Kluyveromyces lactis: one gene and its partner. The protein of the gene in region 1 purifies or fractionates together with the protein of each later gene. This does not show direct contact. Links are inferred from orthologs where the notes say so. Each region holds a gene or a part of one and is shown in the gene's direction. Other genes may lie near its edges.

Region 1 (7,634 bases):
GAAGCTAGTTACGGTTTCTGGGCTGCTTATTTGTTAACTTTCTGTTTCTTCTGGGTCGGTATCGTGGTGCTTGTGTTTGGTAGAAAGAAGTACGTGAGGAGGCCCATTGGTGACCATGTCATTGCAAGATGTTTCAAAATCTGCTGGATTGGTTTATGCAACGGTTTCAATTTGAATAGAGCCGTTCCATCTTTGAACCCAGAAAAGGAGTACCCATGGAATGATTTATTCATCGATGAAATTAGAAGAGCTTTCAAGGCTTGTAAAGTTTTCGCATTTTACCCAATTTACTGGGTTGTTTACGGTCAAATGCTTAACAATTTCGTTACCCAAGCTGGTACTATGGAATTGCACGGTTTGCCAAATGATTTCTTACAAGCTATCAACTCTATTGCTTTAATTGTATTCATCCCAATCATGGAACAATTCATTTACCCATTTATCAGACGTTTCACTCCTTTCAGACCAGTTACCAAGATCTTCATTGGTTTCTGTTTCGGTTCTAGTGCCATGGTTTACGCTGCTGTCTTGCAACACTTTATTTACAAAGCAGGTCCATGTTACGACTTCCCAATGTCCTGTGCACCAGAATACGCAAACACTCCAAACAGAGTCCATATCGGCTGGCAAGTTCCTGCTTATGTCTTAATTTCTCTTTCTGAAATTTTCGCGTCCATTACTGGTTTGGAATACGCTTACTCTAAAGCCCCAGCCACAATGAAAGCCTTCATCATGTCCATCTTTTTGGTCACGAACGCTGTCGGTTCTGCTCTCGGTATCGCCTTGTCCCCAACAGCCGAAAATCCAAAGTACGTCTGGACATTCTCTGGTTTGGCTGTTGCTTGTTTCATTGCTGGTTGTTTGTTCTGGCTATGTTTCCACCACTACAACAAGGATGAAGAAGCCTTGAATGCATTGGATTACAAGACAGAAGAACAAGAACAAATGTTGTCAGGTGTTGGTGTCACCGGAGAAGGTGCTGCTTTATACAGTGTCTCCTCAGTTCGCAGTAGAGTTCAACAGCAACAGAAACAGCAAAATCTAGAGCATCAATTATCTCGCTCAGCTTAATGTTCTTTTATAACTCCTCTTTGGCCTTTGTTAATAAGAGAGAACACTCTCATCGCTGGCAAGGCAGAAGTACAGTCTGACAAATGCATAAAAAACTAATGTCTTGACATAAAGAATAAATCCATGTTTGATCCATTATCAATCATATCACGAACTATTTCGAGATCTTATTATTTTCTTTTTGTCCCTGGTTATATTATATTATTATTATTACTATTGTATTATCATTATCAACCGGTCATTGCACTGTATCTAGTCTATTATCAACGATAAATAGAGAACCTTCATGTAATCAAACACGTAATGAATAGCAATTGAATTGTTAAAAGCTCTATAATATCTCTATCCAGGATAGTTTCCTGCAGTGATACCTCCTAGGGAAATAATTTGTTTTGTATTTTAACGTACTCTCTCTTTGTCTTTTTATCTTGCAGACAGCATACAATAAGGCCTTTACAATTGGAAATTTTTCATGCATTTAAAGCTTTAAAAGAATCTCATCACCAAGACACATGTAAGAAAACATTTGACGAGGAGGTGTTCTATAGTGGTGACTAGTTCAGAACGTGAAAACCTGGTAGCTTTGAATAGACTTCTTGCATAATGGTACTATCTTCCAGTCTTTTCGTTCAAAAAAGAAGTACAACTACTGCTTTGAAGCAACCAAAAGAATTAGGTCATTATTCGAGAACACAGGACAATGGATTTTTAGTCAACGATGATTCGAGGCTAGCATACTATTACTTGCCAGATACGGATCTAGACAAGAAGCTTGATCTTTTAAGTGGAATCAAGAAGTTCAAAGAGTGTAATACGGAAGAATTCGACTCTACAACATTGCATGGATTACTTTCGACTTTGGAAGAGTATGAGAGACGTAAGAGTAAGAAGACGAAGGTGGATATCATTACGTTCAGAGGTATCATACGGAAGCTCATCTCCAGTGCTTTTGATTCATCACAGTTCAATCCGGTAAATTTCCGTATTGTTTCGTTTGATGGACAACTATTCATTAAGGAAGTCAAGACAGACGCTTCGGAAACCTCCATTAACAAGAATAGGGAGTCGTTACAGGCAAGGGCATATTACAGTGGTTACAAATTTGAAGCACTTGCAACCTTATCGCTGCCACTACCGTTGGTACCCAGAACTACATTGGAAAAGAGACCTAAAAAGATTATTAACAATGGGGACCAATTCATCTCAATGGTTAGAACAGGAATAGGTAAATGTAAGATATTGATCGGTGCAGAAGTGGACTGTATTTTTGATTTTAAAGAGGATTCAGATGACAACCTGAAGCATTACGCAGAGTTGAAATGTACCACAATGGTCAATACCGTTTCCGATGCGCATAAATTCGAACGTAAGTTGTTTAAAACCTGGTTACAGTGTTTCCTAGTAGGAATAAACAGAATTATATATGGGTTTAGAGATGACAATTTCATGCTCAAAACTGTAGAGGAGTTCACTACATCTGAGGTACCGCTAATATTGAAGAACAACAACCCACAGATGCAAACTGTGTGTGTAGATGCCATAAAATGGTATGGTGCCTTCACAGAGTGGTTATTGACAAGTATTCCAAGACCAGAAGACGATATTGACACAATTAAAGCCTATAAACTCATCTTTGAGAACAATCACCTAAAACTCACGGAAATTGAGTCTGACGACGAAGAATACAAGCAGCTGGTGGAAGGAGAAGAGATACTATCAAATTCGTTCAAACAATGGAGAAAAGATCTTCGCAAGTAACTTCTTTATACGTGATATATATGTACACAGAGAAACTACTGAAGTAGTTTACTAGAAATTGATATAAGCAATACAAATAGCATCAGTACTATTATTGTCTTGAAGGCAAGTGCCTGTATAAACGAATTTAACGTGTGTGCAAGTGTCTTGGCATATAAATTGGCCATCTGATGAACGCTGGGGTGCGAGTCCAGCTGCGCACAATGCCACCATTCATCACATTTCCCAGCTAAAGCCGGCCGTATTCCCTCACTACATCTATTCTCAACATAAGATCGTTTGCACTGAGAGATTTTCTTCATATCCACCCATTGCTGTTCCAATAACTGCCATTGCACATCTTTATGCACAGTCCAACAGAAATATCCCACTATTACCACAAGTAAACCCTGGAATACCAATTTATTCACTGAGTGCATGAGAAGAGGCTATGACAAGCTCTTAACCCAAGGTCTTAGCACAGGTCTTGGTTCATTTGGTGCTCTATTCAATACACCCGGCCAAGCAATGTGCGTCCCAAGATATTAATCAGTGATTCGAAAGGTTGCTCTTCGGCAATTACTTAAGAAAAAAAAAACCACGTGACTTGTGCTTTCAAATCGGCGAAATCGAATCCTTAAGACCAAATTCACACTGAAAGAAACAAAATGGGACACAGAAACATATGAGAAACAAGATAGAATAGTATAGTTACCCTCTGCCGAAAATTCTCAACTTCCGAATAGCTTAAAACAAGAAAAGCCGTAATTTCAATATCAATTTGGCGAGTTTACTAGAAGTTCAAGAAGGATAAACACGGTCGGATTGGCGTCTTGCTCTGTTGAATATAGACACTTTCGCTGTCTAATCTTTGGGAGAATTAATCAAGGAGGAAATTGAGCCGATAATTGAGTGCTATAGATCATAGTTTTGGTTGATTAATTTATAAACATAAACATAAACATAAAGATGGCTTCCATGTCTTTGATCGCATACCGTGTGAGGAAATCGCCGATTCTTTTCATCGTGGTACCTATATTTGTGCTATTTTGCGTGTTTCAATTAGTTTTTTCCAGTGGGAATAACGTACTAGGATTGAGCGATGATATTATGAACCATCAATGGGCAGATCAGTCCGAGAAGACATTTTATTTCCCATATACAAAGAAGTACAAGATGCCAAAATATTCATACAAGAAAGTTTCCAGTTGGTTGTTCAATGATAAAGTTGACGATTTGATTCCTGAAGGTCACATTGCCCATTACGATTTGAACAAGTTGAAATCTACCAGCAATGCCTTAGTAAACAAGGAAAGAGTATTGATTTTGACTCCAATGCAGACTTTCCATCAACAGTACTGGAATAATTTGTTGAGTTTGACTTACCCAAGAGCATTGATTGAGCTTGGATTTATTATTCCAAGAACTGCGTCTGGAGATGCTGCTTTACAGAAATTAGAATCTGCAGTAAGAGAGGTTCAAACAGGTAAACAGGATAAAAGATTTGCCAAGATAACCATCTTGAGACAAGCGTCTCAGTCTTTCGACAGACTAGGAGAAAAGGATAGACACGCACTAGAAGTACAAAAGGAAAGACGTGCTGCTATGGCATTGGCTAGGAACGAATTGCTGTTCTCTACCATTGGACCGCACACTTCATGGATTCTATGGTTGGATGCAGATATCGTTGAAACTCCAGTCACCGTCATTCAAGACCTAACGAGCCATAACAAACCGGTTCTTGCCGCTAATGTGTATCAAAAATTCTATGACAAAGATCAAAAGAAGGAAAGTATTAGACCTTACGATTTCAATAATTGGGCTGAATCCGAAATCGGTTTGAAATTGGCCCAACAACTTGGAGATAACGAGATTATCGTGGAGGGGTACTCTGAAATTGCGACTTATAGACCATTGATGGCCCATTTCTACGACGCAAACGGTGCCACCAACTCATTAATGGAACTTGACGGTGTCGGAGGTGGATGTACTTTAGTGAAAGCTGAAGTCCACAGAGATGGTGCCATGTTCACTAACTTCCCATTCTACCACTTGATAGAGACAGAAGCATTTGCTAAGATGGCAAAAAGATTGGGATATTCTGTGTTCGGTCTACCTAACTACTTGGTATACCATATTGAAGAATAAGCGCTATGAGTTTTCAGGGAGAACATAGCATCAAACGTACTGCGTAGAACGAATCCTCAATTAAATTAAACGGGAAAAGGTACCGTCTTGATCTTTAATTGGTTTTACTCTTTATGTACTTAGACCTATTATGTAAAATACTATTAATATTTCTGCGTACTATTATTATAAGCGAAATAACACCTTCAATTACCACGTTTAGTTTTGAAACAAAGAGCAGGAGATATAGTGCAATATCTATGGGGACAGATCGCATACGATTATGCAATGAAACGGAATGCAATTGTTTTGTCTTTTCCAACCTTTATAAATGTTAACAGGGAGTTAGATTTCTATTTCTTTCAAGAATGAAGGAATGTATTCAAAGTAGTTTTCCTCTGAAGCGGAAGATACAAATTCCTGAGTATGAGTGGTGTTTTTGATCATCTCTGTGACTTTCTTCAAATCAAGGCCCAAATAATTTCTCATGAAATGACCAATTTCAATATTCTCATGGTTACCACCAAGTTTATCCAAAATCTTAGACTTCAACCCGTCCTTGTTGGAGTATGCATATATATTAACATCGACTGCGCTATGACCATGTGTTGTCCAGCCCAACTGCGCCCTGAAAGAGACCATATCGGTCAATTTGTCCATCAAAAAGCCAGGGGTATCGATCAAGCTCTCAAGCTCTTTGATATCTTCGTCAGTATAATCGTTGATACCTAAACCAGCTTCCACAATTTCATGTTTGATGAACTTAACTAGATTGCCCTTTGAGGTCTCAGAAGTTTGAAGCTTTTTTTGAATCAACTTTCTTGCTAAGTACTCACACGAATGTTGTGCTTTTGCCAAGACTTCAGGTAACCATAAATAATCCGGATATGCTTTAGAAACTTGTCTGGCCGTGACCAAACCACCTGTTTCATGATCTGAAGTTGAAATTATGACGGTTTCTACGTCTGAATTTTTAGCGTATTCAACAACAGCCTTGAACGTCTCATCATATGCAGTGACCTCACGAACCTGTGCAGCAGGATCGTTCAAATGACCTGCATGGTCAATACGAGAACCTTCAACTAACAAGAAAAATCCCTGGTCTGAATCCCTAGTTGCTTTGGACAATGCGTTGATTGCAGTCATAGCTTCTTCTTTCAAGGATGGATATTCCGAATCTAATCTATCAATCTCAAAGGGTATATCGTAGTCAGCTAACAAAGCAAGCAAAGGAAGTTTCACATTATCACCCTCGGATAAGGTATTAAAGGATTCGCGATCTCCAACATAGTGCCAACCGTCTGCTACAGCTTCTTTGATCAAGTCACGACCATCTGTACGAGAACCTCTGATCCCATATGGTGAAGCTGCAGCACCCTTGGGGTAAAAGCTAGTTCTACCACCACCGATCATCAAATCCACCATTCTACCCAATTCATATTCACCCAACTGATGTTGGGCAATTAACTGTTCCATGCTTCTACGATCAGCATGAGCAGAGAACGATGCAGGAGTCGCGTCAGTAATTCTTGTAGTGACCACCAACCCAGTCAAATACCCTTGAAGCTTTGCGGCTTCCAAGAGTGTACCACAAGGTTGTCCATTTGGATCCACACCGATGGCACCGTTGTAAGTCTTCAAACCACATGAAAACGCAGTAGCTCCCGCTGCTGAATCAGTGACTAACGAATTTGAAGATCTTGTTCTTGAAGAACCGACAAAGAATTCATCGAGATTCAACATGTGGTCAAACGTGAGCCCATCAGTAAACTGCTGGAAAGAACGAGTCATGGACAAAGATGCAGGTCCCATACCATCAGAAACGAAAAATATTACGTTCTTCTTCTTTGGGTGCTTGTGACCACCTAAGAACCCTGGGAACAACGTTGATCTTTGATCTTTCAATGTAAAATTATGGGAGAAAGTGGCCAAAACAACTAGAACTAAAACCAATCCAAAAAGAATGTGTCTCGCATACCTTTTTCCCGGCTTGTTACCGGATGGTAACAAATTTGAGCCTTCTGTAATCATTATTATACCAACTATCAAATTATGATTGACCCGATTGGAAAACTCCCTTGAAATGGTTGATAAGATAAACCCAGCGGACTAGAAACCTTAACCAGACCGTTTCAAAACAATCACCACACTTCTAAGTGGCACGACCAATACACCAGCTTACGAACTGTGAAATACAGAGCAGTCTTGTGCTCTTATTTCCCTTATCTTTGTAGATTTCACAGATGAGGGAGGGAGTGTATTATTCTTGGCTTTTTAGATCTATATTTATATATACCACAAATATCACCAACGAAGAGAAACAAAAAGAGATAGGTGGTACCATCACGTGGACCTTAAAACTCGTCGAATCAAGTTGGGATTCTGGGCAAATATCGGTCATATTGATCGAACCTATTTCCGATGCTCTGGAGTACATTATTCATGTAGTATGAGATAATTATATGCTTACTTATGTATTTACAGTTTTATATAAGAAATTTGTCCACGAGACTCATATCATTTTATCTATATGACGGTGGAATGAGTTCCTTATTCTCTTGTAATTGGGTTCGTAGCCATTCTGATGGTTCTTGTAAATCGTTGGGTTGAGCTGTAGTGATTTGGAAGACGTTGAATCTCTTCACGTCAAGATCGATCATCAATTCGGTGAATCGATCGATGAATGATGATACATCAAG
Region 2 (7,933 bases), on another chromosome or scaffold:
TCTCTTGAAGATGAATAAGATTCTGTCAGGTTAGGGATAACCACTTGTGTATTACCCTTTGTCCCCAATGTTCCCGATTCTAGTAAAGGTTTCTTGTAGAACACACAACGACGGTCGACATAGGTACGAGCATCCACATTATCCAATGCGTTGGTAACGAAGTCTAATTGATTCCAAAAAGCATCGTTGAAAATATTCTCTGTTTCAGCACCAACTTTGTCAATCTTTGGCTCGATCTTGCCCTTCAAATCAGGATTCATTGCACTTACAGCATCAGCAGCAACTTCAGATTTATTTCTGCCGACATCCTTTGGTCTGAACAAGAATTGACGATTCAAATTCGACTTTTCAATTGAGTCATTGTCGGTAACAATAATTTTACCTTCAGGGCCAGAAGCCAAACCTAGTAAAGCCCAATTCTTGAGCATCTCACAACCGATCGCACCTGAACCCACTAGGAATACCTTCAAATTTGCGATTCTCTTTTGGAATTCCAAACCGAATACGGAAATTTGGTTATCGTAACGAGAGTTGATTGGTTTCGTGGTATCTGCATTTCTTGGGAAATCTTCAGAATCTGGTAGAGATTCGATGGAATCGAAATACATGTACTGTTTAATAGGAGTGAACTTACCGGAGGAGGCCTTTAACACTTCTTGAGCAACCAGACCACCGAAGAAAGCAACGATACCTGGAATATCACCTCTTGCTTGGTTAGCTAGTTCTGTGATGAGCTTTTCATCAACTTTCCCCTCAGAACCCAGCACTTCAGGTTGTTGTGTAGCTAAATCTATAACGAGTTTAACTAATTCATTAGAATCTTCTTCATAAAATGGCCTTGGCAATTCACCTTGATGTCTAACTTGGAACTGATGTAGGGCCTGGAAACCCAAGTGTAATTGTGCAGTAGTCTCGAATTTGGCGAAATCCGAGTACAGGAACTCTGGTGTTGCCAAAGATTCCCTTAAAGACTTGAACGTTAATTTCTGTGGCATCTTGACCTCGGTGAACAGACCACCTTTCTTGTATGTACCAAGATCCTTAACAGAACCAATCTTGAATGCGAACGGACCCAACACCTCGACCTTGTAAGGAGTACCATCATTCAACTTCTCAAGACCTTCCACCTCGGAGAATTTGACGTAATTGCCATCTTCTAACCCATGTCTGTTATCGTCCAACATGGTCACTGTACCATCCGACTCGATATCAGAAACAATACCTGTCTTTGGCTCTTCACCAGTAGTATCAATAACGGTAAATTCTTCACCTAAATCGACGAAAACGTTACCAAATAACCCACGGGTCTCCGTAGAAATGAAACCGATACCGTGAGAGTGTGTATACTCATTCAACTTCACCTTTTCTTCTAGTGAAATCGTGTCTGTCACAACAACTACTTGGAATTCAGACAATTGTGACACGTCTTCTAGCCCCTCTAGCACCTTCACTGGCACGTATGAGTTTAATTCGGCTAATTTTGCCTGTGATACTTTATCTCTAGCTTGCCCAATATCTTGTTCTGACAGGAAAAACTGCGTAGAAAGATCCTGTAAAGCGACAGCGCTTGGATCATAAAGGGTTAAAGACTTAACACCGGCCAAGACAACGTTCTTGGCAATCTCGACACCTAAACCTTTTAACCCAATGATCAAAACGTTCGAATGTTGCATCTTTAACATCGCTTCTTTACCTAATACGTACAATTGACGAGAGTACAAGCTCTCGTCAATTTCTTCGCCATCAACCTTAATATTCGTCATATCTGATACTAACTTGTGATGCAATGTGATCAAAATGAACGAACGGTTCACTTCTTGTTGCTATTGTTGTTTTAAGGAAACTGGTTTGTAGTTGTTTATAGGTTGTTGGCCTTATTAATTCGGTTTTTGCCACTTTGGGTTCGGTCACGTGAGTGGTTGAGTTTTCAGTCACGTGATATGAATGGAAGATGTTCGAATACAATACGACAGAAAGTGAAGCATTTGAGGTGATAGTATGGTTCCAAGAGCCCATATAAATTGTTTCGTAAATAATTAATTAATACGAGACAGTAATCACTTGATTTAAACCCATTTGGCATGCTTGAAGCCATCATTGCATACAATAAATGCATTTACACCAGCACACCACATAATATTTGAATGTTCGTCAAATGTGATATTTGATTTTCCCTTACCTTGAAGACGAGATGTCCTTCTCAAGAGATAAAGAGAGAGGGAGAGACTTCGACTGGCAAGGACAGCGCGATTGTTTACTCTACCCACAGTCTGACAACCCTATATATCTAATTTTCCATGTCCCATTGGATCAGACAAGAATTGTACGGCGGTGCCATCAGCACCGTCATTCCCAAGACGTTTCTTGATGCTTCAATGCTAAGGCAAGTACCAGACACACAGGAAGTGTTCGTGAATAGCAGACGTGAGAATGAACCTAGTGAGGATGGGCTCGGGTTCGATGAAAGTGTGATCGTAGACCTAATGCAGCGTGTGGAAGAGAATAATGACAGAAAAGCGTTAGATATCCATTTGGCAGAAATTTCAGAACTCAACGGATCACAGAAATGGACAGTAATTGACCATCAAGAGCAAACGGAACTCAAATCACAGACATGTATCGTTGTTGAGACCGCATACAAGTGGGGCAAACAATCGATGAAGGAAACCGTAGTAATGTGTGTTGCATTGCTCAGGTTGGATCAATTCGATACCGACGTCATCATTTCTGTTCACGTGCCTATCTCATCGGAACAAGAACTGAAGGCCATGGAACAGGCAATTGCGCAAAACTCACCGGAAAAGCTACCTCAAAGGGTGCACGCGTCCTATTCGTTGCTTCGGGACATGATCTCGAGCTTCAAAGTGGAGGATCCATCGTTATTTGCATGATCGAAACCAGGTATAGTAAAAGTATAGTAAATTATATATCCGGGTAATGAATTTCTTTAAGAATGAGTGTTTCAACTATGGAAATGGTATTATCAATGATAAACAATACATACTTATTCCTCCATCAGCTAGACTCTCAACGGTATATCACTACGAGCGGGAGCCCTGGTGTTGATTAGTGGTTCATAACTTGCGCTATCCGTGTGAAGATGGCCAAGGGCAAGAGAAATAACTGGAGAAGGATAGCCACCATTGCAATTCCGTTGGTGTTTGCAGTGGTGGTTCTTTTCAAGATGCTTAACTACAGTACGACTGCTGCAGATTTGCAGACACTATTACAGAATTTACCTAAGGAGATTAATATGGGTTCTTCCGAGCAATCAGACCGTAAAATTATGGAGAAATTTGAGAAATTGAGCCAGGATATGCTAAAGAAACAGGACGATCAGGCAAGAAGGTTTGATAGAGAGAGGAAAGTCTTGGAGAAGAAGATTCAAGCGTTGAAGCAACCTGCCAGACATGCGACTTTGAGAGAGAAGTTGGCCGTTGTGTTTGAGTACGGTACCACTCAGAGATTCCCCGCTTTTGTTTGGCAAAGTTGGCCGTATTCCGATGACGATGACAGGTTGGATCCTACATTGAAAAAATACGAACGGAACTGGGCTAATAAAAACCCTGGTTTCGTTCACGAGATTGTCAACGACGATACTGCTGCGGCGTTTGTGCATGGTTTCTATGCTACAGTTCCTGAAGTGATAGAAGCTTATGATTCTTTGCCTACGTCGATCTTAAAGATCGATTTCTTTAAGTACCTCATCTTGCTGGCGCGTGGTGGTGTCTGGGCAGATGTCGACACTGATCTGTTGCAACCAGTACCCAATTGGATCCCAGAGAACGTGTCTCCAAAGGAAATCGGGTTGATTATTGGTATTGAACACGACTCGAAGACTCCTGATTGGAGATCTTCTTATTTGAGAAGATTGCAATTTGGCAATTGGGTCGTACAAGCCAAGCCAGGCCATCCAGTGATCCGTGAAATGGTCGCAAGGGTCACTGAGACTACATTGGAAAAAAAATACGCTGATGAACTTAACATGAACCTAAGAAACGATCTGACCATTATGGGCTGGACCGGAACTGGTGCTTGGACCGACGTAATATTCACCTATTTCAACGATTACGTTCAAAGTGGTGTTTTAGACAAGATCACTTGGAAACATTTCCATAACTTAAAGGTACCCAAACTGGTCGGAGACATTCTAGTGTTCCCAGAAGTTAGTTTCAATGCGCCACAAGCTGATTCAGACACGGATTCTAAACAGTTGACTAACAGTGCGCTACATTTCGCAACACATACCAAAATGAAGTCATGGAAGAACCAGCAAAAACTCCGCGGCTACAAATAACGATTTATATAGTACTATATTCATATCACAACTTTAAATAATTTTGTTAATCCGTTTCTGACACTAAATCATGTATAAGTTGTGGAACTAAAATCAGAGTGCGCCCAAGCTCTACTAAAAACTGGGCAATTAAAAGACTTTCCTCGTCACTTAAACGAATATCTGTTGTCCCTATCTGGTTACTCATCATCTAAAAGCTTTTCCATCCCACATCTTCATACATGATGTTTTCTTGTCAGAACACGGCACACGCCTCCTGGCATGCTGTGTGAGATAATGTAAAGGAGATTTACTAGGTCATGGTACACCTGGTATCCCTGGTACCCCTGGTACTACCCATTTGGTGCTCAGAAGCCATCCTTCTACCGTCTTTTTCGTCTTATTTTCGGCCTCGAAGTAAGTGGCTTTTATATGGTTTTCGTTCGGGAATTTTTTTCTTAAATGAATGAGGTTTTGCTTGATCGTTAGGGCATCGATAAAGTGTAGCACACGACTAGCAGCCAGTAGCCTGAAATGGTTCGTAATGCTTTATCTATCTTATGGTAATAACTGAGGTATAGGTTAAAGAAAGAAACGAAATATGTAGTTCTATTTAGTGTGCAGGAAGGGACAACAACTTATTGTTCCAATTTGATTCCTTCCTGTTTCAATTGGGCTTCCTTTTCTAGCCTCTCTTCGATTTCTCTTAATTCTTGCTCTCTTTGCAGCAATTCCTGTCTCTTCAATTGCAATTCTTGTTGCACTCTTTCTTCGAAAACCCTTAATCTTTCTTCTTCTAGCTTGATTTGTTCTTCTCTTGCCAAGTAAGTGTCCTGGTTCGATGACGCGTTGTTAGAATGTAAAGAAGTCGAATCATTGTTCCCCAACGCAGATGGTAATCCATTGCCCCTCACAGATTCTCTACCAGATACAGCGGGTGATCCTAGGTATTCGTTGTTCGTGGTGCTGAAAGCTCTGTTATGAGTCGTAGTTCCTACAGTTGGCATCTCACCGGACAAGGCTTCAGTTCTGTATCTTTCGTATAGGATCTCATGAGTAAATTCCTTCATATCGTGTAAATGTGAAATGAGTAGAGTGTTCCTTAGGACGACGAAATCAGAGATGTTAGCATCCTCGACGTCAAGGGTTCCCCATGGATATTTTCTACCACGAATCACGGACCCGTCTGCAGATTCAAACACATCGTTGGAACCGATGATAGAGAAGGGCAGTAAACCTCTGAGATATGTGTTTGTTTGATAATCTTCGTCTGACGCGTCTTCCTCATCGAATGGGAAGTTGTAGATAGGTAGCGAATAATAGTCGATATCCTTTGCGATCAATTTCTTGTTCAATTTCAACTCTTCAGCGGTCAAGGAATCTGCTTTACTGATAACGGGGATCACGTTCACTAGAGTACCTAGTCTTCTGATGAATTCCACGTCAATCTCTTTCAATCCATGTCCAGTAGGATTGATCAAATATAAACAACAATGCACCCTACCATCTTTAAACCGAGGATTTCTCCTTACACGGCTCTCTTCCAACAAAATTTCATCGTACTGGTGACGAATGTAATCAGAGATAATGTCAAACGATGGAGAATTATCCAAAGAGTCGCCGAATCCCGGAGTATCAATGATATTCAATTGGATCTTAAGACCTTCTTCGTCTTCTAACTCAACGATTTCTTCCCTCAATTGCACATCAATCTGCGTATTTGTGTCCGTTGGTAACATAATCGTGGTAGAAGTATCTACCACTTTCTGTCCACATAGAGTGTTAATGAACGTCGACCTACCGCACCCAGACTGACCAACAACCATCACCGTGAACTGAATTCCTCTCTTCAAGTTCTTCCGTTTACGCAAAGCGGCAGATGCCTGAATAATACTTGCCATTTCTGTCTAAATTACAATTGTAGCAGTGCTTTTGTTTCCCAATTCAATACCCCGACAGAAATTAGGTGCTAATAAGACCTCTGAGCAGCTCTTCTGTTAATTGTGTTGTTTACGTGTTAGTTGTTTGTTTAAAGTTTCACGTTTCCGATCTGATTCTAAATTCGTTACTCTGAGGAATCTGGAATTTAGTATGGAGGAAACAGAGAAAGAGTAGGTATTCGACGGTGAAAGAGCATTTGATGGATGATAGAGGGGCTCAGCTAATTGAACAGAGGTTATAGATTGTTACTTGGAAGTCAGATTACGGAATAATCAATCCAGCGATGCACAATTGCCTTAAGAATGTGGATTTGAATGTTGACACATCCGTACATCACATACATATTTATCATTTAGGACGAAATTCGATTCAATTTCTCATTTCATCAAAGCTTTCTCTTGACTCATCTCGAATTGTGATGTGGAACCAGTTAATCATCTCATGTTCAAGACGATTTTATATTTAAAGGAACCCTTAAAGGGCATTGAAATAATTGTAAGAAGAAACTTTCGATAATTTCTTATCGATTGGTTATATTTGGTTGATAATTATCTAGTAGGGCAACTACACTATACTGTGATAAAAAGGAACTAGGTTTTCGCATTAATTTGATATCATGTCCGCTAAAAGAGTTGTTTTGATCGATAACTACGATTCGTTCACCTGGAACATCTATGAATATCTTTGCACTGAGGGTGCTGAAGTTTTAGTTTTCAGAAATGATAAGATTACTGTGGAAGAAGTTGAAGCATTGAACCCTGATATTGTCATGATTTCACCGGGTCCAGGTCATCCAGAGACCGATTCCGGGATATCAAGAGACTGTATCGCATTCTTCTGCGGCAAAGTCCCTGTGTTTGGTGTCTGCATGGGTCAGCAATGTATGTTTGATGTCTTTGGCGGTGAAGTTAGCTTTGCTGGAGAAATTGTTCATGGTAAGACTTCACCAATATTCCATGATGGAAAAGGTTTCTTTAGAAAAGTACCTCAAGGTGTCGCAGTGACGCGGTACCATTCGCTTGCTGGCGCCAAGGAAACACTTCCTGATGTGCTTGAAGTTAGTGCAAGAACGGAGACTGGAATTATTATGGGTGTGAGACATAAGAAATACACTGTGGAAGGTGTGCAATTCCATCCAGAATCTATCTTGACCGAGAGTGGGCATCAAATGATCAAGAATATTCTTGAAGTATCAGGAGGTACTTGGGATGAGAACGCAGCTAACTTGGCTAGGAATGAGCTCGGAAAGACAGCCAGCACTGATAAAGCGAAATCTATCTTGGAAACTATTTACGAAAAACGCCGTGAAGACGTTCAACTGCAATCGACGATCCCAGGTTATCGGTTCTCTGATTTAGAAGCCAACTATAAGTTAGGTTTAGCTCCAAGGGTACAAGATTTCTATGCAAGATTAACTGCTACTGAGAAAACAGCAGTCTTGGCTGAAGTGAAGAGAGCTTCTCCATCGAAGGGTGACATTGATTTGAGTGTCGTTGCTTCAGAGCAAGCGTTGAAGTATGGTCAGGCAGGTGCTTCAGCGATCTCTGTATTGACCGAACCTCACTGGTTCAAAGGTTCCATTGAAGATTTGAGAAATGTAAGAAAAGTGTTGGAGGTGGCATTTGCCAATGACGAATCGAAAAGACCATGTGTATTACGCAAAGAATTCATTTTCTCAAAGTACCAAATCCTAGAAGCTAGACTTGCAGGCGCTGA

The links. Proteins that work in one complex are often made in the same cells at the same time.
Region 2: the proteins of MNN9 (region 1) and HOC1 purify together in Saccharomyces cerevisiae (affinity purification with western blotting; 6 studies listed by BioGRID, with this or other methods). This does not show direct contact. The link is inferred for Kluyveromyces lactis from reciprocal best matches to the Saccharomyces cerevisiae genes MNN9 and HOC1.

Annotation. Positions count from the first base shown.
Region 1 is NC_006041.1:1,135,604-1,143,237, reverse strand, and holds MNN9 (mannosyltransferase complex subunit MNN9), read left to right. Parts: upstream 1-3,777; coding exon 3,778-4,956; downstream 4,957-7,634. Other genes in the region: PTR2 (Ptr2p), read left to right, coding at 1-1,071; RAI1 (decapping nuclease), read left to right, coding at 1,675-2,829; BRR6 (Brr6p), read right to left, coding at 2,865-3,248; alkaline phosphatase PHO8, read right to left, coding at 5,281-6,966; Arf family GTPase ARL3, read right to left, coding at 7,458-7,634. UniProt on the Saccharomyces cerevisiae protein: The M-Pol I and M-Pol II complexes possess alpha-1,6-mannosyltransferase activity and are probably involved in the elongation of the mannan backbone of N-linked glycans on cell wall and periplasmic proteins.
Region 2 is NC_006038.1:1,253,893-1,261,825, forward strand, and holds HOC1 (alpha-1,6-mannosyltransferase), read left to right. Parts: upstream 1-3,100; coding exon 3,101-4,297; downstream 4,298-7,933. Other genes in the region: E1 ubiquitin-activating protein UBA1, read right to left, coding at 1-1,763; Ran GTPase-binding protein MOG1, read left to right, coding at 2,298-2,891; septin CDC11, read right to left, coding at 4,915-6,177; TRP3 (bifunctional anthranilate synthase/indole-3-glycerol-phosphate synthase), read left to right, coding at 6,834-7,933. UniProt on the Saccharomyces cerevisiae protein: The M-Pol II complex possesses alpha-1,6-mannosyltransferase activity and is probably involved in the elongation of the mannan backbone of N-linked glycans on cell wall and periplasmic proteins.